4 linked regions of the Macaca fascicularis genome follow. The protein of the gene in region 3 purifies or fractionates together with the protein of the main gene of each other region. This does not show direct contact. Links are inferred from orthologs where the notes say so. Each region holds a gene or a part of one and is shown on either strand. Other genes may lie near its edges. The genes, in order: EZH1, EZH2, PHF1 and EED.

The links.
Region 1: the proteins of PHF1 (region 3) and EZH1 purify together in Homo sapiens (affinity purification with mass spectrometry; 5 studies listed by BioGRID and IntAct, with this or other methods). This does not show direct contact. The link is inferred for Macaca fascicularis from reciprocal best matches to the Homo sapiens genes PHF1 and EZH1.
Region 2: the proteins of PHF1 (region 3) and EZH2 purify together in Homo sapiens (affinity purification with mass spectrometry; 15 studies listed by BioGRID and IntAct, with this or other methods). This does not show direct contact. The link is inferred for Macaca fascicularis from reciprocal best matches to the Homo sapiens genes PHF1 and EZH2.
Region 4: the proteins of PHF1 (region 3) and EED purify together in Homo sapiens (affinity purification with mass spectrometry; 8 studies listed by BioGRID and IntAct, with this or other methods). This does not show direct contact. The link is inferred for Macaca fascicularis from reciprocal best matches to the Homo sapiens genes PHF1 and EED.

Annotation. Positions count from the first base shown.
Region 1 is NC_088390.1:63,757,246-63,762,441, forward strand, and holds the end of EZH1 (histone-lysine N-methyltransferase EZH1), read right to left. Parts: intron 4,990-5,196; coding exon 4,908-4,989; intron 4,125-4,907; coding exon 4,044-4,124; intron 3,287-4,043; coding exon 3,202-3,286; intron 2,921-3,201; coding exon 2,860-2,920; 3' UTR 600-2,859; downstream 1-599.
Region 2 is NC_088377.1:190,462,003-190,467,806, forward strand, and holds the end of EZH2 (histone-lysine N-methyltransferase EZH2), read right to left. Parts: intron 5,486-5,804; coding exon 5,390-5,485; intron 4,113-5,389; coding exon 4,031-4,112; intron 3,133-4,030; coding exon 3,052-3,132; intron 2,898-3,051; coding exon 2,813-2,897; intron 1,407-2,812; coding exon 1,346-1,406; 3' UTR 1,082-1,345; downstream 1-1,081. UniProt on the Homo sapiens protein: Polycomb group (PcG) protein. Catalytic subunit of the PRC2/EED-EZH2 complex, which methylates 'Lys-9' (H3K9me) and 'Lys-27' (H3K27me) of histone H3, leading to transcriptional repression of the affected target gene.
Region 3 is NC_088378.1:138,279,756-138,285,466, forward strand, and holds the start of PHF1 (PHD finger protein 1), read right to left. Parts: upstream 3,950-5,711; 5' UTR 3,088-3,949; intron 2,084-3,087; 5' UTR 2,068-2,083; coding exon 1,909-2,067; intron 1,827-1,908; coding exon 1,745-1,826; intron 1,639-1,744; coding exon 1,543-1,638; intron 1,403-1,542; exon of another isoform or gene 1,217-1,402; coding exon of another isoform or gene 1,213-1,216; intron 1,133-1,212; coding exon 1,032-1,132; intron 919-1,031; coding exon 770-918; intron 593-769; coding exon 497-592; intron 295-496; coding exon 226-294; intron 92-225; coding exon 1-91. Other genes in the region: kinesin-like protein KIFC1, read right to left, coding at 4,615-4,659. UniProt on the Homo sapiens protein: Polycomb group (PcG) that specifically binds histone H3 trimethylated at 'Lys-36' (H3K36me3) and recruits the PRC2 complex. Involved in DNA damage response and is recruited at double-strand breaks (DSBs).
Region 4 is NC_088388.1:85,287,779-85,293,507, reverse strand, and holds the start of EED (polycomb protein EED), read right to left. Parts: upstream 3,504-5,729; 5' UTR 3,063-3,503; coding exon 2,949-3,062; intron 1-2,948. UniProt on the Homo sapiens protein: Polycomb group (PcG) protein. Component of the PRC2/EED-EZH2 complex, which methylates 'Lys-9' and 'Lys-27' of histone H3, leading to transcriptional repression of the affected target gene.

The sequences.
Region 1 (5,196 bases), on a different chromosome or scaffold from region 3:
GCTCAGAGATGCTGCTTCATTTACCCAGGAGGTCATATTCTTTATATGTAATTTTTGTTGCAAAGTCTCTCTCTAGAGAAACTCTATATATTATTCGAATTTTTAAAGTATTTGTTTATATATAAAAGAAAAGCTCAATTGGCCGTGCTGTCCTGTGCTGTGCTGTGCCCACAGTCCGTAGTTTGCCTCTCCTGTGTTGGAAGTCTCATGAGTCCTGCTGGTCACTCACCAGCCTGGTCCGGCCTCCACTCTGAAGCAGGGTTGAGCCTGCTGTGCTCTCAGACACGGAGCCGTTCCAATAAAGCAGAGTGGCAGAGCCCCAGTCTGTGTGTGGTAGCTGGCGTCGTGGTTAGGGGATAAGTGGGATGATTTTAAGGGAACTAACCTGAGGGCTCAGGAATTTCTAGAAGGAGCTCTCAGAATCCTTGCATCACCTTCCAGGGGCTTGACTGGCTCTTGCCGGACCCCCCATCTCCCCCTTTGCCAGACCTCAGTGGGTAAGTGGGGATCAGAATGCTGATGCTTTGGCCCGACCTGCTCCTGGACCCCATCCCTGGATCCTTCCAGCCCCAAAGCACACAGTACACAGCTTGCCAAAATGGATTCTAACACTTTATTCAGATAAGAGGTCACAAGCCACAGGACTTTTAAAGTGCGTGAAATTTATTGGCAATGAAGCCGCATGTATACCAGGCTCCCCCAGTCCCCACCACCTTGCCCCATCCATCATGACGTGGTGGGGAGGGGTTGAGACCCATCTTTAAAAGTGGGGGACAGCAGGGACAAAGGACGGGAAACTGGAGGAACAGGAGTATTCATGAACTGAAGCTGGGACAGAAGGAGACTGACCACAGTGATTCTGCTCACTGAGGGAAGGGTAGGGTCAGTCTAGTCTCTCAAAGGCTGGTGAAAAGTTTTTTTTCACCTATTCCTCATGGCCAGCCCCTGGCATTTCAAACAGACCTAACTCCTCCTCTTCATCTTTCTCCGGTTTTCTCCTCTATGAGTAATTTGGAGCCCACAGTCCAGCTTGAGGGTATCCCTGATATGCACAATGAATACAAACCACGGCAGATGCAGATTTCAGGATCATGCTGGGGCCTGGCCTATTTGGGTGGGAAGAGCTTTCTGTCAGGATTTGCTGAGTGCGGGATGCATGTGTGCCCTCCAGTGTGGTGAGTGAGAGCGTGTGAGTGTGTGTGCATGTCTCACACCAAACCCTAAGAGGCAGCTGGGTCAGGGGGAACCCCACTTCTTCCTTCATGGGACAACCAGTGGAGTGGGAAGAAGTGGGGGCTGCGAGTCTCAGAAAGAAGGAAGAAGCCTGCTCCCTACTATAACACTCCCAGGCCAATCTACACCCGCCCACGCCCTTTCTACCCAGCACACTATTCCTTGTTCCCAGCCAGCCTGGCACACCTGCCATGGACACAGGGCAGCTCTTGCTGGCCCCATTCACATGAAATTCTGTGTGAAGCTCGCTCCTCTGCCTCTCCCAGGAGATGAGACAGGACTGGAAGAGAATCTCCCGCTCTCTCTTCTTCCCCCTCCCTCAGGAGTGGGATTTGGGCAGGGACCCTAGAGACCTTAGCCCAAACTCTACCCCAATCTATAGACCTTCTAAAATAAATGGTTAAAGTGCTTTGCTCTGCATGAATCCCAGAGAGGGTGGCACCACAGCCTGGAACAGGTGGTCTACCTGCTTCTTCTCCCACTTCACATACCCTCCACCAGTATGCCCTGCACACGGGATGCCAGCCTAAACACGTGCAATTTAGCCCCTCACCCAACTTGGAACACATATTCCAACTCACCCTTTCCAAACAGCAGGCACTACAGACAGGAAAGCAGATTACACCAATCTTTCTCCTCTCTAGTCCAGGCCTATGCCTGCCTACCCTGAAGAGATAAGCAACACTGGCCGTTGGGCCTTGCCTCTATGGGGAATGGAAGGCCTGAAAACACCTACAAATCCAGCGAGCCAGGGTGCTCACACCTGCCAGGCACACCCCTAATGCTTCTTCAATAGCAGCATAATGCCTGCCTGCAGCTGCTAAGCCAGAACTTTGGAGAGCTGGGCACTGGCGTCTGCTCCCAGGAATCTGAAAACACTTCTCCGTCTATCTCCAGAGTACACAGAGAAGGCTTTCTCAAAGCCTCCTGGGCCCAAGCATAGCAGTTTAACTACTATCATCTGGCTGGTTCTCCCTCTCTGGCCAAGGAAGGATGGCATAGCTTTCCTTCCCCAAGCCTCAAATGCCTGTATTTAGAACCCACACTCTTTCAGTTTGAGCCCTGCCACAAGGGAGGAGGTAGTAAGGTGACCCGTCTACCTCTGAGTTCAGTCTGTGCTGCCTGCCAGGCCTGCCTCTAACCCAGACCACTTGTAGGGTCCAGGGACCACGCTTCACTTAGCCTGTCCTCTCCAGGTCTTCGGATCACAGAGGTTTGCCTGCACCCCAATGACATAGGGACGCCTGATGGGGAAAGCTACAATTACAGGCTAGTGCTTGTGGGGAACTGCCTAAGTTGATTCCTGAGGCCCACAACCTGGGGAGCCGACACGAAATCACATATAAGTCATCTACTCCAGCCTGTGCTCACTTCCTCTGAGGCCAGAGAAAGTCTCCCATTTCTGCAACTCTCTCCTGGGAGACCAAGCCCTAGCTGCCTCTGTCTCCCCTCTCATTGAGACAGTTTTGTGCCCACTTGACATGGCAGAGGCCTCACTACAGAGGGAGTGGGTGGGGGGTTTCTCAGTGTGGGAGACACAGTGCAGGAGACTCGAGCAGCAGTGGTGTGAGCATGAAAGCCAAGACAGTGCCGCTACCATAAATGCTGCCATGGGGCCTGGGAGGGCTAAAGCACGTCGGTCTCCCTCTCGATCCCCACGTACTTGAGAGCATCAGCTTGGCTGTACCTGTCCCAGAGCAGGGAGGAGGAACCAGGTTACTCTCATGACTTTTGTGATTGAAAAGGCGGAGTCCCCTTCCGTTTCACTTCCCCTCCCACTCCTTAACGGCTGTTTACAATGGTCCCACTTCTGAGGCAAGGCACCAGATATCAGAACAAGGGACACAGCCTTGTTCACCGGAAGACTCTCCTCCATCCCCATTACCCTCCCTGAGCCTCCAAATCTATTCCAACGCCTCTCTTTCCAGTTCCGGGGCCACAACCCAAGGACCATTACTGGCACCTCACCTGTAATCAAAGAAGAGCTCTTCGCCAGCTTGAATTGCCCTCTTGGCAAAGATCCCAATCCGATGGTCTCCATTCACCATGACCACTGCAAGCAGGATAAACCCAAGGCTAGGTTCCTACCCAACTCCAAATCAATAACCAGTAGGCTTCTGGGTTGATTTTCTCCAAATTCCCAGTGAAAACATGAATCAAATGGAATTACGAAGTAGTCAATACGGTAGTTGCCTCTATGCTTTTAGATCTGTTATTATGGCAGAAAAATTATCTTTATTATTATTAGTGGGTTTTTTTTTTTTTTTGAGACAGAGTCTTGTTCTGTTGCCCAGGCTGGAGTGCCACGGCAACCTCTTGGCTCACTGCAACCTCCGCCTCCAGGGTTAAGTGATTCTTGTGCCTCAGCCACCTGAGTAGCTGGGACTACAGGTGCATACCACCACGCCCAGCTGATTTTTGTATTTTTAGTAGAGATGGGGTTTCACCATGTTGGCTAGGCTGGTCTTGAACTCCTGGCCTCAAGTCATCCACCTGCCTCGGCCTCCCAAAGTGCTGGGATTACAAGCGTGAGCCACTGCACCCAGCCTATTATTATTTGGTGAGGTGGGTCTCACTATGTTGCTCAGGCTGGTTAAATCATGTTTGTGGGAAAGTGTTTATAATGTATTCGCTGAAAAAAGCAGATTATAAAACTAAGATTGAGAGGGGCCTAAAATGATCCCAGACATTAATCATGATTATCTTTGGACAAAAAATAGCTCAGCTATGGAAGAGGTTCAACAACGGATGGAAATCACATTAAAGAGGCATCCATCGCCCGCCCCACCTCCCAGGTCACTGGGACTCACCTTTGGCATAACAGTTGGGATTCACTGAATGATTTGCAAATCGAATTTTGTTTCCTTTCCGAGTAGCATCCACTACAAAATCTGTATAAAGTAAAGTAAATCAAGGAAAACCATGAGCACGCTGGCAACTCCACAGCTTCTCAGCCTGAATTTAAAATCAATTAAATAGTAACAAACACTTTAGTCTGATGGGAATTTTGAAGCCCAGTGTGCTAACAGAAGCAGAGGAAAGCATGCAGCCTCAGAATTCAGCCTTGTGTGGGAGCTCTCCTTTTGGGTCCTCACTCTTTGAATTATGGATCTTCTCATCTACCGGGCAGGAAGATTTCTCAGGTAAAGGCGCTCAGTGCTCCTATTACGAACAGAACCCAGAAATGGAGGTTCTTCCAAAGCAAGGGCACTGTGGCCTGTGGGATCCCCAAGTATGATCCTGCCCCCTTGCTCTGTGCATCTGCTGGAAGATTTGGAGCTGATCTACACTTGGACTACAGCAAGGACGATCTGGTAGAAAGACCACCTTGGGGCTGGGCGCAGTGGCTCACTCCTGTAATCCCAGCACTTTGGCAGGCCAAGGCTGGTGGATCACTTGAGGCCAGGAGTTCGATACCAGCCTGGCCAACATGGTGAAATCCAGTCTCTACTAAAAATACAAAAAATTAGCTGGGCATGGTGGTGGGTGCTTATAGTCCCAGCTACTCAGGAGGCTGAGGCAGGAGAATCACTTGAACCCAGGAGGCAGAGGCTGCAGTGAGCCAAGATCGTGCCACTGCACTTCAGCCCGGGCAACAGAGCAAGACTCCGTCTCAAAAAAAAGGAAAAAAAAAAAAAAAGACTACCTTGGAACAAGACAAAGAGACTTCATACCATTATTGAGGTTGAAGAGGAAGCTGGACATGTATTTGTCATAGACCTTTCCGCGACGATCAGCCTCGTCCTGAGAAATGAGCTAGAGAGATAGACAAATAACAAATAGGAGTATCAGGCTGCCTGCTCAGGGCACGGTATCCTGTCCCCAGAAAGGGCTGGGTGGTATCTCACATGGGTGCTTACTGAGTATCACGATGCGAATCATAAGAGAGCAAGCTCAAGTTATGCTGTTCCAATTCCCACCCAGGCCAACTAGTTTGAAGGCTGAAGACAGCCCCTCATCTCG
Region 2 (5,804 bases), on a different chromosome or scaffold from region 3:
CCTACATGCAATGATGAGCAGATGGGCTCCATTTCACCTGTGCCTAAGCAAGGCCATTGAGCCATCTAGAGAATGACCTAACCCAAATAATGAAGTAACTGCCTCAGGGTCCTGCTGAGTGCCAAGAGTGGAACATGAGGGCATCGAGGGCAACAAGCTCTTAAGTGGATGGGACCATTTTCTGGGTGAGAGTGGAGATAGTTATGTAGACATAAAATAGATCAGCACTGTCATTAAGAAACCATGGGACGAGGCTGAGGGAGGGTCTCCTCAATCCCAAATCAAGTGGCAAATTAACTTTAGGACTCAAGTTGCTGCGCCTGTGCACTGATGTGATGGAGACCTGATCTCGCAAATGTTGTGGAACCGGAAAGCAAGATGAGTCGATTTAATTAGGTTTCACATTAATACTATCACATTGTAAATAAAATCTAACTGTAGAAAAGGCAACTGCCAAGTAACTGAGTGTGGTCTGGTTTGCAGCGGTTGTGAGGGTTCCCATGATGCTGCTGGTGAATGTACCGGGGGAGGGTGCAGAGAAATTCCCCCAAATTCTGAGACCGACCACATGGTAAGGCATGCAAGGCACATGTTGTTTCCTTGATGCTTAGAGTTTGTGATTTTTACCTCTTCTTTGAGAAGATATAAAACTAGTTTGGTTATACCTGTCAGTAGGTAGGTAAGGAATCCCAACTTATATTGTATTTCTAAAGAACTCTATCTAGACTAACGGCATTTAGAACTAGGTGAGTTCTTAAAAATAAGCTAAGTCTACTCTGTCAGTTTATATATGGGGAACAGACTTGGAGGTTAAATCACTTTCTCCAGTTTGCACAGCTGACTGGAACGTACCCACCCACCCTGGTCTTGTCTATAAAATCAAGCCCTTTACTGGGTCAGCCCTCAGGATGCACAGCAGTTCTTCATATATGAATGTCTTCCACATATTACCAGGCAGTATTAGTTAAAATCAAGATTCATACAAAGACAACTAAAAAACTCAAGGAGGTAAATTTAAAAGTTTTTTGTTGGGCAGTACTAAAAGCAGTTATTGACATGTTATGAGAGATGACTCAACAAGGACAAGTTCAAGTATTCTTTATTCAAAGTTGAAAAATGTACCATACTGCATTATTGCAAAAATTCACTGGTACAAAACACTTTGCAGCTGGTGAGAAGGCAATAAAAAGTTGATTTTTAAACTCATTACTATAAATTATTCTTACAGTACTTTGCAAATTCAGAATTTCAAACTGCATTTTCTTTTTCTAAATTGCCCACAGTACTCGAGGTTCCTGAAGCTAAGGCAGCTGTTTCAGAGAGGAGGGGGAGGAGGTAGCAGATGTCAAGGGATTTCCATTTCTCTTTCGATGCCGACATACTTCAGGGCATCAGCCTGGCTGTATCTGAAACAACAGGAAGAAGCAGAAGTCCGCTGGATGACCACCCATCCAACATGTGCTGAGACTTACTTAACACAACAAAGCCTGCTGAAGACAGTGGGTGCATTAAAATGTCTTAAAACAAAACAAAACAAAACAAAAAACCATCCAATTATACAGCTGCCTGCATAAGGGCACACTCGTAGAAGGCAATGCGTAGGTCTGTGTTGCTGGCCATCTAAGTGAGACGCTGCCAAGTTCTGAACTGAACAAACCTGTCTACAAGCATTTCCAGAGCTTGCCCAGCCTCCCCTATGCCTCTGAAGCAAGTGGCCCCAGGAAGGCTGGTCCACATCATGATGTTTAGGTCCGACGGTGGAAAGGCAAAATAAAACCATGGTCTGGAAAAAAACGATGACCATGGCAAAGAGGGCCAAAGAGCAGCCCGCCAGTTGTTCCCCCAGGTGAAGAAAGAACTGGAGTACAGTGGACACCCAGAAATAGTGGGTGGGGCCACCAGGCCCTCCCAAGGAAACTGGATGGCTTTGCCTCCAACCCCAGCTCCACCCCACACTCTTCATTCAGAGCCGGCCTGGAATGAAGGCAGCGGCCCTCAGTAAAGTAGGCCTTTCACTCAGACCCTGTCTGCCTCACTGAGAGCTCTCGGCTATGCAACAGCCATTAAAGGCCAGCCTGAATATTCAAGAACTCAGTACTCAAAGACAGCTTCTGGATGGGATGTACATGGGACCACAGGAGTTCATTAACTAGACAGTCATCTGACTGCACCTAAATCTGTATTCAATGGATGACTTAAATGTATCCCACAGAGCTTGACTGTGTCAACTGGCAGCCTAATGCCTAACCACACAGATACCATCGGTGGCCCACATGTCCCAGGCATCCCCACAGGGTGACCAGACAGTGATTTGCCAACAGCACCTTTTAAAATGGTAATGATACGTGTAATAAGTATTATAGCAAACAATAAATTAAGTAGATCTAATCAGTAAAGATATACATAGTATATTGTCAAGTAAAACCATGTTGCAGAAAAATCTATAGGACAGTGTGATCACACTTATCTGGAAAAACGCTCCACAAGCAAGCATGCAGCATGCGGCATGATATGAGAAGGTCTAGGACTCACCCAGCTGTCAACAGCAGGGTGAGAAACGGGGCTTTCTGCATGGATTTGATTCTATTTTTAAAATAAGCATGACTTTTATAATAAATAAATGGATCGTGAATACATAACAGGAAAGTATAACCTAATTCCCCACTAATGCTCAAGGCAAAGTGACCCGTCAAAACAACTCACCCCCACCCCTCAGCACATCTAGCAAAGAACTAAAAAAATCCTTCGCCCAGCGTTCACGATCCAGTAGAAAAAGCCCTTAGAGATCATGTTAGAAATGTACTTTACCAACCTGTAATCAAAAAACAGCTCTTCACCAGTCTGGATGGCTCTCTTGGCAAAAATACCTATCCTGTGATCGCCGTTAACCATCATAACTGGAAAGAGACACACTGGTGTCAGTGAGCATGAAGACAGGCCACGGGAGGTTAACTGACTTGTTCACATAACAAACAACTATCCCAGAAGTATTCAAGTCCATCATCACAGGATTAAAAAGGGAGTTCCAATTCTGACGTCAAAGATACCTACCTTTTGCATAGCAGTTTGGATTTACCGAATGATTTGCAAAACGAATTTTGTTACCCTTGCGGGTTGCATCCACCACAAAATCTAAAAAGAGGAAAATGAGCCCAGTGAATAATTTCAGTTATAAGTAAATCAAGTTATTATGATTCTGTAAATGCAACCGGTTATAGTTCTTCAGGGTTTGCCTGCAAAAGCAAATAAATCATTCAAGCAACTTCATTCAGTAAGAAATGACATTTGGAAGAACACACTATTGTTCCAGGTTAAAATTAATCACCTATAATTCAAGATGGTTATCTGACACAAAAGCTATTAATTATCAACTATAAACATACATTACTAAGCAAAATAAAAAAAAAATTAAAAAGAATCTGACAAAATTCTTCTGAACATCAATTCATTTAACATTAGTTTTTTTTATAATGTCTATAAAGCATTCCTAGAAAAAATCTATTCTACTTGTTCCAACTAAGAGTTTCTCTGAATATCTTACATGTTAAGCCAACCTCCCACCAGAACAATCCCACCAGAAATATCCCTACAGACTTACATTCTACCCCAGAACATCAGCTATGAAAGCAACTGCCTTTCCTCCCAGTCCTTTGAGAATATCCAGGGGAGTCTGGCTCCTCCCCTCCTTCCCAGCTCCGAGGCACTGACTGCAGGAGGTGAGCTGAGCTGCCTGAACACAAGAGGTGAGGCAGCAAGAGCACAACATCCCCGTCACAGCCAGACACTGGTACAGCGCCACTCACAGATGGCCAGGGCTTCAGAGAGGCGGTTTCCTGCACACCTAGTCCATCTGCTCCCTGAGGAATTCCTTGCTCCAGTTCCTTTCAAGCAAGCAGCCCCCGATGCCTCTAAGGAGATCCTCCTTCTGGTCACCTCACTGACCTCCACCCTCGTTTCTGAACACTTGGCAGGCAGAAGGCTGCCACATGCAACTCAGAGGAACTCACTGCCTCCCAGCTCAGATACATACCATTGTTCAAGTTGAACAGAAAGCTGCACATGTATTTATCATATACTTTCCCTCTTCTGTCAGCTTCATCTTGAGAAATAATCTAAAAAGAAAGACACAAGAGAAAATTCTTTTGGATAAAGGTGATCAAGTCTGACAGCACATGCAAAAGCACACACAGTGAATACTGGACCTTCGGAAGAAAACAAAAAGGGTCACTACAGCCAAGTTCTCTTTCCCATTCAGTCTGCACACTGATAAATCTAAGAATAACTGTATATTAAGGACCCCAACTCAGAAATATTTCCACATCCTGAAGTAATTATCCTTGGAGAAAGTGAGGAACCAAAGTCTTCTCGCTGAGCTTAAAAAAAAAAAAAAAAAAACACACACACACACACACAAGTTGGCCGCAGTGGCTCACGCCTGTAATCCCAGCACTTTGGGAGGCTGAGGCAGGCAGATCACCTGAGGTCGGCAGTTCAGGACCAGCCTAACCAACATGGAGAAACCCCATCTCTACTAAAAACACAAAATCAGCTGAGCGTGGTGGCACATGCCTGTAATCCCAGCTACTCGGGAGGCTGAGGCAGGAGAATCGCTTGAACCTGGGAGGCGGAGGTTGCAGGGGGCCAAGATCGCACCATCGCACTCCATCCTGGGCAACAAGAGCGAAACTCCATCTCAAAAAAAAAAATTGGGGTGAGTTGGTTCCAAATTGAAGCTAGCCCTATGATTTTTCGGTAACTCAACAATTTAGAAGGTGAATAACTAATGACACTGTTGTTTCTACATCCTTATCAACCAGGTTGTGGATTAAGCAGGACACTCTATGGTAAAGCTCCTGTTCTCCCTGCTGACCATAGATGAGAAAAGCTGAATGTGGCTAGAACCAAGCAATCCTGTTTTGTTTTGTTTTCCTCTGAGACAGGGTCTCACTTTGTTGCCCAGGCTGGAGAGCAGTGGCACAAATATGGCTCACTGCAGCCTCAACCTCCCAGGCTCAAGCGATCTTCCTCCCTCAGCTCCCAAGTAGCTGGGACTACAGGTATGCACCACCATGCCTGGCTAATTTTTGCATTTTTTGTAGCAATGGGGTCTCGCCATGTTGCCCATGCTGGTCTCCCAACTCCTGAGCTCAAGCAATCCACGTGCCTCAGCCTCCCAAAGTGCTGGGACTGCAGGAGTCAGCCCCCGCGCCCAGCACAATCCAGTTACTAAGCATGCAAATCCACAAACATGCAGACGTCCAGGCTTAAAAGGCAGTTTATGGCAATTCATTCCCAATCAAACCCACAGACTGACCTAATAAAATCAATCTAAAATAAAGAAAAGTTAGTATATACAATGCCACCTGAATATAGGTAATCAGTGCCTTACCTCTCCACAGTATTCTGAGATGAATTCATTTTTCTGCACAGGATCTTTGATAAAAATCCCCCAGCCTGCCACATCAGATGGTGCCAGCAATAGATGCTAGAGAATAAAACACAATTACAATCAAAAAAGGAGGGTGAAGATGGACTGGGGACAAAGCAGACTACAGAATGAAAACAAAAGCTATCACTGTAAATCCTCAGACCTGTTCTAAGGCAGTAATGGAACACACAGCTTCAGTCAATGTGAAAGCTGCTGAGAATGGCTATGAACATTATGCTTTTCTCATACAGCAGATAAGAATCTCTGTCTTACAGAAAACCCTTTGGTGGTGTTAGTCCTCTGCAGTGACCATCATTCAGCAAGGTGCTCTAGGCCTGCTGCACTTTTGGCTTCCCTGTTTCTTCAGCCCTTGATT
Region 3 (5,711 bases):
AGTGAAGGGGAGGATCTCACGATCAAAATCAAAGTATTTCTTCTTACAGCAAACGCTGAGGTGATACAGGACAAGATGGGCCACATCCACCCTGGAAAAACAAAATTTCCAAGACCACAGAGGCATTTTAAGAGCCAGGGGAGTCCTGAGGTGCGAGGCTGGGGCATACAGAGTAAAATACTAGGGGTGTGGAGTTACACTGAGGTCATGCCCAAGCCAGCTCACCAGCGAAGCTGTAGTCTCCGGACTTTCTCAGGGCCTCCACGACACACACAGCATTCAAATTCATAGAACCTGGACGTGGGCAAGAGGGAGAACACACACTTACGCAGGAAAACTATGCCATCCCCTGGAGGACTCACAAGCAAGGATGGGGCAAACAGGTGAGGTAATGCTGCAGATATTGGGAAGAGACTGGAGTGGAGACAGGCATGGGAACTGAGGGTGGAGCACGAAGAGAACACCTTGGCTTCTGGAGAGTCTGCCTTGGTCTCACCTGTCCCCATAGAGGAGGGGCTTGCTCAGACACTGGGTGCAGGCCTCATGGAACCACTGCAGGCAGCTCCGGCACTGCAGCATTTTCAGGTTCCACCTGAGGGGGAACATAGGACTTCTGGCCTCCAGAAACCCCCTTCCCCATAACTGCCCCAAACCCTAAACTTACCTCCCATCCCCCTGAGTGCTACCCTCATCCTGTTCTTTTTCCTTCATTTCCTGGGAGGCACCACCACATCATTCATTCCACAGTCTGCTCCCCCTCATTACTCACTCCCCAGGGCCACCACAGTAACAGTAACTCTGCTGTCGGTTGCTCAGATGTCCAGCATCCCAGTCCAGCCCCTTCAGTCCATATGGCAGAGAGAGCTTCATACCCAGCATGGCCCGGGCATAGGGGCCCTTCTTCAGGGCACCTCCCCTCTGCAGAGACAGGACAGGTGGATGACTTCAGAGGGGTGGGGAGAGGAAAAGGCTTGGGAGAGGATGTGGATGGGAGGCTCTCACAGGAAGGGGTAACAGGGAAGTGCCTTTACCTTGGTGGCGATCGCAAAGACACACTGGCGGCATACCCAGGATGTGCCCTCTCCCTCTCCAGGGGCTGGGGCCCTGGGAACATGGCAGTCCTGGTGATAAGCTGAAGAGTGATAATGTTAATAGTAGACCACTAATTGCATACCTGTGTGTGCTTGGTATTGGGACAGGAATAGTCTTTACCCATCTCATTTAATCCTTGACCATGTTCTTGATGAGAGGGTACATGATCCTTATTTTACGAGTCAGGGAACTGAGGCTCCTAGAGGTTAAGGGACTTGTCCAAGGTCATATGGTTAGAAAAGGATGCAGTTAAATCATCCTCTGCTTGCAAAGGTTACACCACCCCTTTCCATGGCTGCTTCTCCCTGGGCTGAAAGGGGATGAGGACTAAGATAGGGCTAAGCAGCCTGGCCAGAGCAGTGGCTTGGGGACTAAGGCCACGACAGGTGACATAAGGACCATCCTGGAGGGAAGAGCAAGCTAGACCATTCAGGTGACCTGCCCTCTCACCATGGCGACACTTCTCACAGCTGACCAGCCGGTTCCCAGGGACCACAGTCTCAGAGCGACAGACACAACAGAGGAGTTCCTCCCCAGGGAGGGCAGCTGTGAGAGAACACAGTGTCACGGGGCCTGCCCTTAAGTCTCTTTCTGCCCCTCTAAGCCAGGTTTGTTTTCCATGGGATGTGCAATCTCAGGTCTCTAGTCTTACCAGGGCTAATGTCTTTCCATAGAACCAGAAACTGCGAATCATCCTCAAACTGGACCAGACACACCTCTCTAGCACTGTCCACCTGGAATGGGTGAGCAAAGAGAATGAAATGGGAACCAGAATTAGATAAGGGAAATAGGAAAAAGATCAGAAGTAGGTCTTACCTTTTTGATGGTACCCAAGTATAGCAGCCCATCAGTCCATCTGGCCAGCACATCTTGACCCTCCCAAAGTCGAGGCCTGGGGCCAGAGGTGGGAGCAGGAGAAGCTGGGTCCCAAAGTGAGGAGGTACCAGAGCGGCTCAGCCGGGGGGGCTGCGCCATTGCATCCTGGGGGGGCCTAGCCAGAAAAGAAATGGGGAGGAGAAGGTTATGAATGCTCAGAAAGCTTCCCCATTTTTTTTTTCTGAGATGGAGTTTTGCTCTGTCGCCCAGGCTGGACAATCTTGGCTCACTGCAACCATCACCTCCTGGGTTCAGGCAATTCTCCTGCCTCAGCCTCCCAAGTAGGTGGGATTAAAGGTCTACCCACCACCACGCCTGGCTATTTTTTGTATTTTTAGTAGAGAGGGGGTGTTGGCCATGTTGGCCAAACTGGTCTCGAACTCCTGACCTCATGATCCACCCACCTCAGCTTCCCAAAGTGTTGGGATTACAGGCGTGAGCCACCGCGCCCGGCCAACTTCCCCATTTTCTTTGCCTATTTTGCCGTCAAGAATGAAGGATCTGTGCCCCCATCTCCAAATCCCTGAGACACCTGGATAGGAAACCACCAGGCACCCATCACCAGCTTCTTGAGTCCTCTTTCAACTCTAGTGACTGGCTCTCCTCACGGTAACTGCCCTCCCCCCAACCCCAAACCTAGTTGCTAGTTTCCCAGCTTCCAGAGCTCTCCTGGGATATTATATCCTGGCCTTGAAATTTTAGGAGAAATTACGGTTGTAGAAGCAAAGGCTACCACTCAGTTTAGAGGTATCATAATTAGGGTGTCCTGTTGCCCAGAGATGTGTTTTGGGACCTTTTCTGGAGATGTTTTCCAGAGCAGAAACGGCTGTCTCCCCAGGCCTGCGTGTCTCATTAAGAACAATCATCCTGGTGCCAGGTTATGTCAGGTCACCCTCAAATTCGGGGCTCCCTGCCCCCGGGTTAGACAACTTCTCCGAGTGCCCCGGGAGGGGGGCGTGTCCCAGTCCTGGTCTCCACTCCCCAGGACCGCAAGTCCGAGAAGGGACTTGAGTCGGCCCAGCTCGGACCCGAGGCCAAGGCGGCGAGGCTCTCCCGCCCGCGCCCCGCGCCGACCCCCGGCTCCCTGCCCCCCACCGGCGCCTCCTGCCGCCTCCTTACCGGTGACAGCTGGGGCCGCCAGGAGCCGGGCAGGGGCAGACGTAGGAGACCTAGGCGAGTCCCCCGCGCGGAGAGGGCACGTCCGGGCGTGGGGGGGTTGTGCAGGCGGAGGCCGGGGGGTCCCCAGGCCCAGCCCCTCCGTCCCGGCGGCTCTGGGGCGTATGACGCAGCAGCCAAAGCAGCAGCAGCGGCAGGAGGAGGAGGCGGCGGGGGGGAGGGAGGGGAGGGACGGACCGGTTGGGGGGGAGGGTGGTGGGAGGGGAGGACTGGGGGGAAGGAGGAGCCGGAGGGGGGGGCGGGCACCACCTCACCCCACCTCCCTCACCTCCGACAGGCCTGGAGGGTGCCGAGGAAGAGGCAGGCCCTCCACGGCTTGGGAAGCAAACAGTCGGACCCGGTGGGAGAGGGAATCCCCTCAGCCCCTTCCTCCGACCTGAGACTCGCCCTTGGGGCACGAGGGAATCCCCCCTCCCGGCAGCGCGCCTCCGGACTGGTCCCCCGCCCCATGCCACATCCGTTAACTGCCCCACCCCCCATGGTCACTCCAAGTCCCGCCCCCCGGCCCCAGTTCACGGCCCCGCCCTCCATTCACCCTTCTCGATGCCCCCACCACGCCCTCCTCCCTCGCGCGCCCCGCCCTCCACTCGCCGTTAGCCCCAGCCCCGCCCTCCCCGTGGCAAGTCGCGCCCCACCCGCCGCCCTTTTGCGCACGCGTGTCCCCTCCTGCGCGCGGCACCTGGGAGGACTGAGCTCCTCCTTCACGGGGCGGCGGCCGTCGGCGGTTGGCGAGAGGGAGTCGGCGGGCGTGCGCGCCGCTTCCCGGGTACGTCCCGCCCCGTGCTTCCAGGGCTGGCGCAAAGACGAAGGGGGCAAGGACCCGAGGCGGTGACGCCACCGAGAGCCAGCCAATGGGCAACGAGCGGGCAGAGCCCCAGCCGTTCGAACGGAAAGGCAGGGAAAGGGCGGGAGGAAAGAGCCAGCAGTTTGGGAGCGCGCGCTAGCCCCGCCTCTGGACTCCGGGGTCCGGTCCCCATTTGCCGACACCCACCAAAGGAACGTTGCTCCCTGGGGCTGGGGTGGCCGGCGGAAGGGTGAAACTTATCTAGATAACTAGTGACCAAGGAGAGGGTGTGGATAGCTAGAGGGCACGCCTCCCTGATGTGAGGGACGGGGGAGGGGGTATTAGCAGAGGGGAAAATGATCCAGACCATGGTCCAGAACCGGTGAGAGCTAAGGAGAGGAAAAGCCCAAGCCCTCAGCCCCCGCTCCCGCCTCCCACACAAACGTTTGGCAGAGGGGACAGATCACAGCTCCCACCTTTACAGATATGAAAATATCTGCCTTCTTGGGCAGATAAACCTTTATTTAAAAAAAAAAAAAAAACTATTCTTTATTTGATAGCCCTGGGACATGGTGCCCTCTACCCAATAAAGCACCCTCCAGCAACCCTCCCACTCCTCACCCAATACATACACATACAGATACAGACACACACACACACTCCCAACACAAGATCTGGATCCGTCTTCACTTCCTGTTGGCCTGGGCAGTACCAATAACACACTGGTTCACCTGGGGGTAGACAGGATAAAAGTTTGCAGAGTAACCAATACATTTTCCCCAAGATCTCCTTCCATCCTCCAATGCTAGGGCTGCCCTCAGAAATACTGAAATAAGGCCTCCAAAGGCAGGTTCAGGCTGGTCCCAGTTATGGTTGGTTCTCCTCTGCACACGGTTTGGAGGAGGTTAAAAGGCCTGAGAAGAGATAGAAGCCCCAGAAGAAAATACAGGAGCAGAGAGAGGAGGCTTTCATTTCCAGCAATACCCTGTACTAGAGACCTCCAACCTCTCTCACTGTAAAATACTTAAACCGAGATAAAAGAGTAATAACACCCATTTAGGAACTAGGACTCCTTAGAAAATGGATCAGTTGAAATCTGGGGAGGAAATGTACAAGTTGAATCTGAAAAGACTGCTTGAGTTCTGTCTAAAGGACACTGGCGCCAACCTGAAGGAGGTTCTTTTTTTTTTTTTTTGAGACAGTCTTGCTTTGTCACACAGGCTGGAGTGCAGTGGCTCGATCTCGATGCTCACTGCAAGCTCCGCCTCCCAGGTTCATGCCATTCTCCTGCCTCAGACTCCTGAGTAGCTGGGACTACAGGCGCCCTCCACCATACCTGGCTAATTTTTTGTATTTTTAGTAGAGACAGGGTTTCACCGTGTTCGCCAGGATGGTCTCCATCTCCTGAGCTCGTGATCCACCCGCCTCGGCCTCCCAAAGTGTTGGGATTACAGGCGTGAGCCACCGCACCCGGCCAGGAGGTTCCTATTGGCCCAAAATGGGGCAATTTGAGCATCAGAAAGAGGAACGACTGTGGCTGGGCTGGGTGGCTCACGCCTGTAATCCCAACACTTTTGGTGGCTACAGTGAGCTATGATTGAGCCATTGAATTCCAGTCTAGGCAACAGAGCGTCTCTGTCTCAAAAAAATAAAGATAAAAATAAAGATAACCCTCAGATAAACATTCATTGGTCACCTTTGGAAGCTGCTAGGGTATCAACTCAATACTGAAAATCAATAAATAATTCAGCATTTATCTTGTTTTTCCTGTATGAACTGAATT
Region 4 (5,729 bases), on a different chromosome or scaffold from region 3:
CTGCATCTTGCCACAGAGATGCCCTGCATCTCTGCTTTTGCTTAAGCAAAAAGACAAGTCTCTAGATTCAGTCCTCTGATCTTACTACCAAGGCATCCATTAGTACTCTTGCAGAAGCCAACTATTTTGCAGTCATATGATCTCAAAAAGTTCAATAAAATGGCAGATAACATACACAATAAATTTAAAATATGTGCCTATAATTCTCTGACTCACATTACCAGTAGTAACTGCTCAAGTTACCTTAACTCTAACTCAAAAACATATTCTTCCCCCATCTGCTTTGGCCTTTTGCCATTATTTGGCGCCCTGAAGAGTAAAACTATTGCTCTTATTTTTTCTGAACTCATTTTTATACAATGTTCTCTACTCCCTTACCTTACTACTGCCCCTGTCAGGGGTACATGGATGAAATTCAGAAGGCATGTGAACTCAAATGGGGAAAAAAATTTGCATCTTAATTTTTGCCACCTTTAAAATTTAGCACTTCCTTCTATTATTATCTAGGTAACATACATGCTTAATGTTACTGAAGTTGTGACTCTGTCACCAATGGAAATCAAATATTTTTATATTATACTTCGAAAAAGTGTTTATGCCCATTACTACTATCTGACCCACTGCTAGATCTTGTTACTTAATGTGCTAATAAACTATAGTATAGTGCTACATCTAAAATTTTAGAAATATTTTATAAAATGGTGTACAATTTTATAACTGAATTTGTTTGCAACCTCATATCCTGTATTTCACACATCTGAAAATGTTATTTTGAAAAGACTCCCATCCTGGCTAAAACGGTGAAACCCCGTCTCTACTAAAAAATACAAAAAACTAGCCGGGCGCGGTGGCGGGTGCCTGTAGTCCCAGCTACTCGGGAGGCTGAGGGAGGAGAACGGCGTGAACCCGGGAGGCGGAGCTTGCAGTGAGCTGAGATCCGGCCACTGCACTCCAGCCTGGGTGACAGAGCGAGACTCCGTCTCAAAAAAAAAAAAAAAAAAAGACTCTACAAGATTAAGGCTTCCAAGGGATGCGCGCACACAAACACACACACACAAAATTAAGTCTATCCAAACGGAGGAACCAAAACAAAACCTAATCCAATCATTTGGTCTTGAACAGCTTTAAAACGGCAACAAAGAATATGTTTTCCTTTAAGGGTCTGCAAGAAGAAAATAAGCTTTATTTTGTCTTCTGCAAGTTTCTTCATTCTAAACAGGTTTGACAGTTTCATTATATTTTGCTTGATTATTAAGTATGTGGAAGGACCAGAAATATTATTCTATGTAATCATAAATAAGTAGTAGTAATTATTATAAATAAATAACACGTATATAGTACTTACCATGGGGCAGACACTCTTCTTTGTACTTTAGCTATATTAACTCATTTAATGCTTACAAATACTCTATGAGGTAAATACCACACAACACCATCCTCATTTTTAAGAAACTAAGACAATTATGTCAGTCAAGCTCAAGGTCAAGATTAAAATAGAGCAGAAATTTTAACCTATCACTTGGATCCAGCATCTGTGCTCTTAATTCTCTAATCTTCCTAGGGAAATTTAAGAAAATGCAGAAATAAAATGAACGGTCTCTAAATAATAAAAAGAGGGTAAAAAACCTTCGATCCCAATGTACAGGGAGACTGGGGCGCACAATCGGGGGAAAAATACAAAAGTAACACTTAACACCCAAGCTTCCTGAAATTTCAAGTCTAAGATCCCACAAACTGACAATCCCAAGAATATCTATCTTGTCTCTGCAAAAAGAATCCTTTCCCATCTTAGTCATGACACCATTACATGTTCCAGCTAGGAATTATGACATAGAATTTAGAAACTGAATGTGGAAGATGTAACATTTATTCCTAAAACTAGCCAAACTGAGAAAATGAAGAACTTAACGCCACTCTCTGAAACATTTTAAGGATTTTTAAGATAGTCACAAGTTGTCATATATCATGAGAAGGAGAATCACCTTTTGGAGTAATATCTTTGAATAAATTGTCAAGATATTTCGTTGACCCTACTGGTTATCAACCTAAAACATGAAACTGAAAGCTTATTTATGTCAATTCGGCTCTTACTGGTGAGTCAACTAAAACCCAGTTGGGTTAAATGTTGGTACCGAATGATTACGAATATCCATTTCAGAACTTAAAAAAAATCTGATTGTAAAACATCTCGCACTTGGCGAAGCCAGGAGCCCATCCTTAAATACATAGCCCATCTGCCTATACCACTGTTGCCTAAATTCTTCCAGGTCGCCCCCCCCCCCTTTATCTTAAGTAAAAACGTTCAAAGAAGAAATCGCCCACTCTTACTCCTTCCTCAAAAGTAGTCACTCCCCACCCCCAAATCAAAAATCGATCCTCTCAATTCGGCTCCTCCTACAGAAAAGGCGACCTTCAGGCGCACCCGGTCTCCGCGGACAGGACGGAGGCGGACACAAAACCCCCTTTAATAAAGTCCCCCAAACTCCGCAAATCGAAGATCTCTTTCCAACCTGAAAATTCCACAAGGGTCTTAGAGTGACAACCCTTAACGCTCCTTTAACAGGGTCTCTAACTCTGCCCCATCCTTCCAACTTTCTTAGAAAAGTCTCTAACTTGCCTTTTAAACTATTAGAATCTCAGACCCGCACTCTCCCCTTAAATCTCCCCAAAGGCCAAAACACTCCCCATCACAAGCAAACTGATTTCAGGGCAGTCCTCTCAGACCCAGGCAAACACTAGAACCACTCTCCTTCGCCTAGTTTCTGTCTGCTCTCGGCCCCACATCAAAATCCCCGTAGACAATTTCGATTTTCTCCCGCACGCCCGCGTTTTCCTGAGTGACACCTCTCCCTCCCCCCACAGCAGCCCGCTCGTCCCCGCGCCCCCCGTTTTAAAAGAATTTAAAACTTTTACTCCGGAGTCTCTTAACTGCCAGGAGCTGCACTTACATTCTCGTCTCCAGAGAGGTCTGGGTTGCTGTTCTCGTCACTGCTCAGCTTCTGCTTCTTCGCCGCAGGCATGTCTGTTCCCGCCGGCGCAGTCGACACTTCCCTCTCGGACATATTCCTCCGCCTCCCTCCAGGTTCCTGCCGCCTGGGGCGGGGCCTCCGCCACACCGCCGTCAAGCAAGCCCGGCCCGAGCTTGCCGCAAAGTTGCCGCTGCCGCCGCCACCTCCACCGCCCCCCCCACTGTCGCAAATCGCGCCCAGCCGCCGAGGCGGGCGTGCGTGCGACCCCGCCACACTGCTGAAAAAGGGGCGCGCGCGCGCGCCCTCCCGCGCGGCTTCCTGGCTCGTTCCCTTCCCCAATTCCCGTCTTGCCCTTTTCCCGCCGCCCTCCCGGCAGTCTACACGATGTAAGATCCGTTGGATTAAGAGGGCAGTATTAAGTATGTCTCCCTTCCCACCACCGCCTCGGGAAGAGGCGAAACTCAAAGGGATGCTCCCTCACCCCCTTCCTCCTTCCAAAGACGTTTCAGCCGCAATTGGCCCGTTCCTTCGATCTCCGACCCGCTGCTAGGGAGCGAAAGTCTGTGGAATGGGCTACACCACCAATGTCCCAGGAAATGGGGGAAGATACAAGACGTCACCTCTTGCTTTAGCTGTGCATGCCACGTTTCCTTAATCTTGGACTTGGATGATAGCGCTTCCTGACAATTCACAGAACTATTCATAATCTAATTCTTCCTTGAAGATAGAAATACAAAAACAGTAACCTGCTTCCCCCTGACTTCCCCCATCTGGCGAATGGAAAGTACCCTTCAGGGGATGCGCAGGCGCCGTGGCGTACTCTTGCGCTGGGTTCGTGGAGACCCGCCTCCTCCAAGCCCCTCCTCTGTTTGAATTCTCGTTTGCTGAACCAGGTAGTTTTCTCCCCGGTTTCCGAATCCCAGGGTGGATTTCAAAGCGCTGCAGATTATACTCTAGACGTTTCATAAATTCTTGTCGGATATTTATTCTATTGACTATTTATTGTAATGAATGATTATCCTTCCCAGTTGCTGCCATTAATGGTTAAGACTTAAATAGAAATATCCGAAAATTACGAAGCTAGATTCCAATGAGTTACAGCCGAAGTGCTCTTTTTAGCTGCTAAAGTATGATAGGCCCTGAACTGCGCCAAGGCCTAAGAATCAGTGCTCATCTCCAACTATTATGAGACTGTGAGACTTAACCGACAATGTTTTGTTTGTTTTTGCACATTAGATACAATGAAATTCTAGAAGGCAACACAACTGTTATACTTCACCAAAATATTTGCCTCTGTTACTATATCTATTCTCTACCAGGTGGCAGATAACATTGGTGAGCCTTGTGGAATTATTATATGGGCCATGAAACCATAACTGAATGAGCAGCAGGAAACGGAGAATGATGAAAAATAAAATACGGCATCCGCCACCCTTTTTTTTTTTTTTCTTAGAACATGATTGTGACTACTTATCTATTCGGGCTTCTGTAAAAATGTCCTCATCTGTAAAAATGAGGAGGTAGGCAGGGACCTACCATTTCTTGGGCACCTACTTGATGTTGTATATCTTTTCTCTTTTAGATGTCATTACCCACCTAGAGTGCACCATCCATAAAATTCCAGTATACATGAATTATTTCTGCATGATAACTTTATAACCAGGACATCAGTTTCCTTATCTGCAGATTGCAAGTCACTCTTTCTTTTGCAGATAAAGAGACAACTCTTGGTTGAGAATGAGAAAAGGAAGTAAAGCAACGGCAGGTCAGAATAAGAGGTTTTTGCAGTGAAGACTTTGAAATGAAGCTGAAAAAAATTAAAGTTGAGGTTTCAATGACTGCAGTCATTTGTTCAGCACTTCCAATGTTCCAGGCACTACTAAGCACTCCTCAGTTGGTGAGGAAGAGATGAGAGTAGAGTAGAGTAAGCTCCTGAGAAAGTAAGATGTGCTTTGGTATGACATTTTCATCAGCAGACAGAAACATCCTTCCCTTTGTTGAGAACATCTTTCCAATAAAAGGAAGGATGTTTCTGAAATATAGTTCTACAAGTAAAGGATAATCAACTACAGCATTTCAAATTAAAATTACTCCGTGTGTGAGAGATTAGTGGGAGCTGGGAAGTGGGAGTCAACGTCTAGTCATAAAATTAGAAAAGTGCTGAACATTTGGATAAAGGACACATATGGTAGAAAAATGCCTTACAGCATTCATATTATCTGTAACAAAGCAAAAATATTTTAAAGAGGCTTATTAAAACTTGAATGTTTAAAAAACCGTTTTAAAAATGTTTCTGATGAATTGGGTGATAAATGGAAATTAGTTTATATTACTACATTATTGTTACTACATTAAAGAAAAAATATTCTGACACTTGTTAAAATAGTAAGGAACACTTAATTCAGGACTATTTTGATAGATGTCAAGACTATCACAATAGGAGAGAGATCAGGCTCAACTCCAAATTACAGCAAGGAGTGGGAATTTATAGTCAAGGAGCAGAGTTGGAGGGGTTGGTGGTTGGAAAATTACTAAGAAGAGACATCACGGATGGGGAAATTTTTGCTAAACCAACTTAACAGAATTTGTGCTGAAAAAAGGCCAGGGTGATCAGATATCAAGGGTGTGGGTTTCTCTCTAAACTGACTCAGAATTCTTGCTATAGCTGAGCGAGGCAAGCTAGACAGGATGAGGGAGAAGAGGGCTCAGAGGAGAGTCTTTGTTACTAATTTAAGATATGTAAAATGTCACAGGTATTCT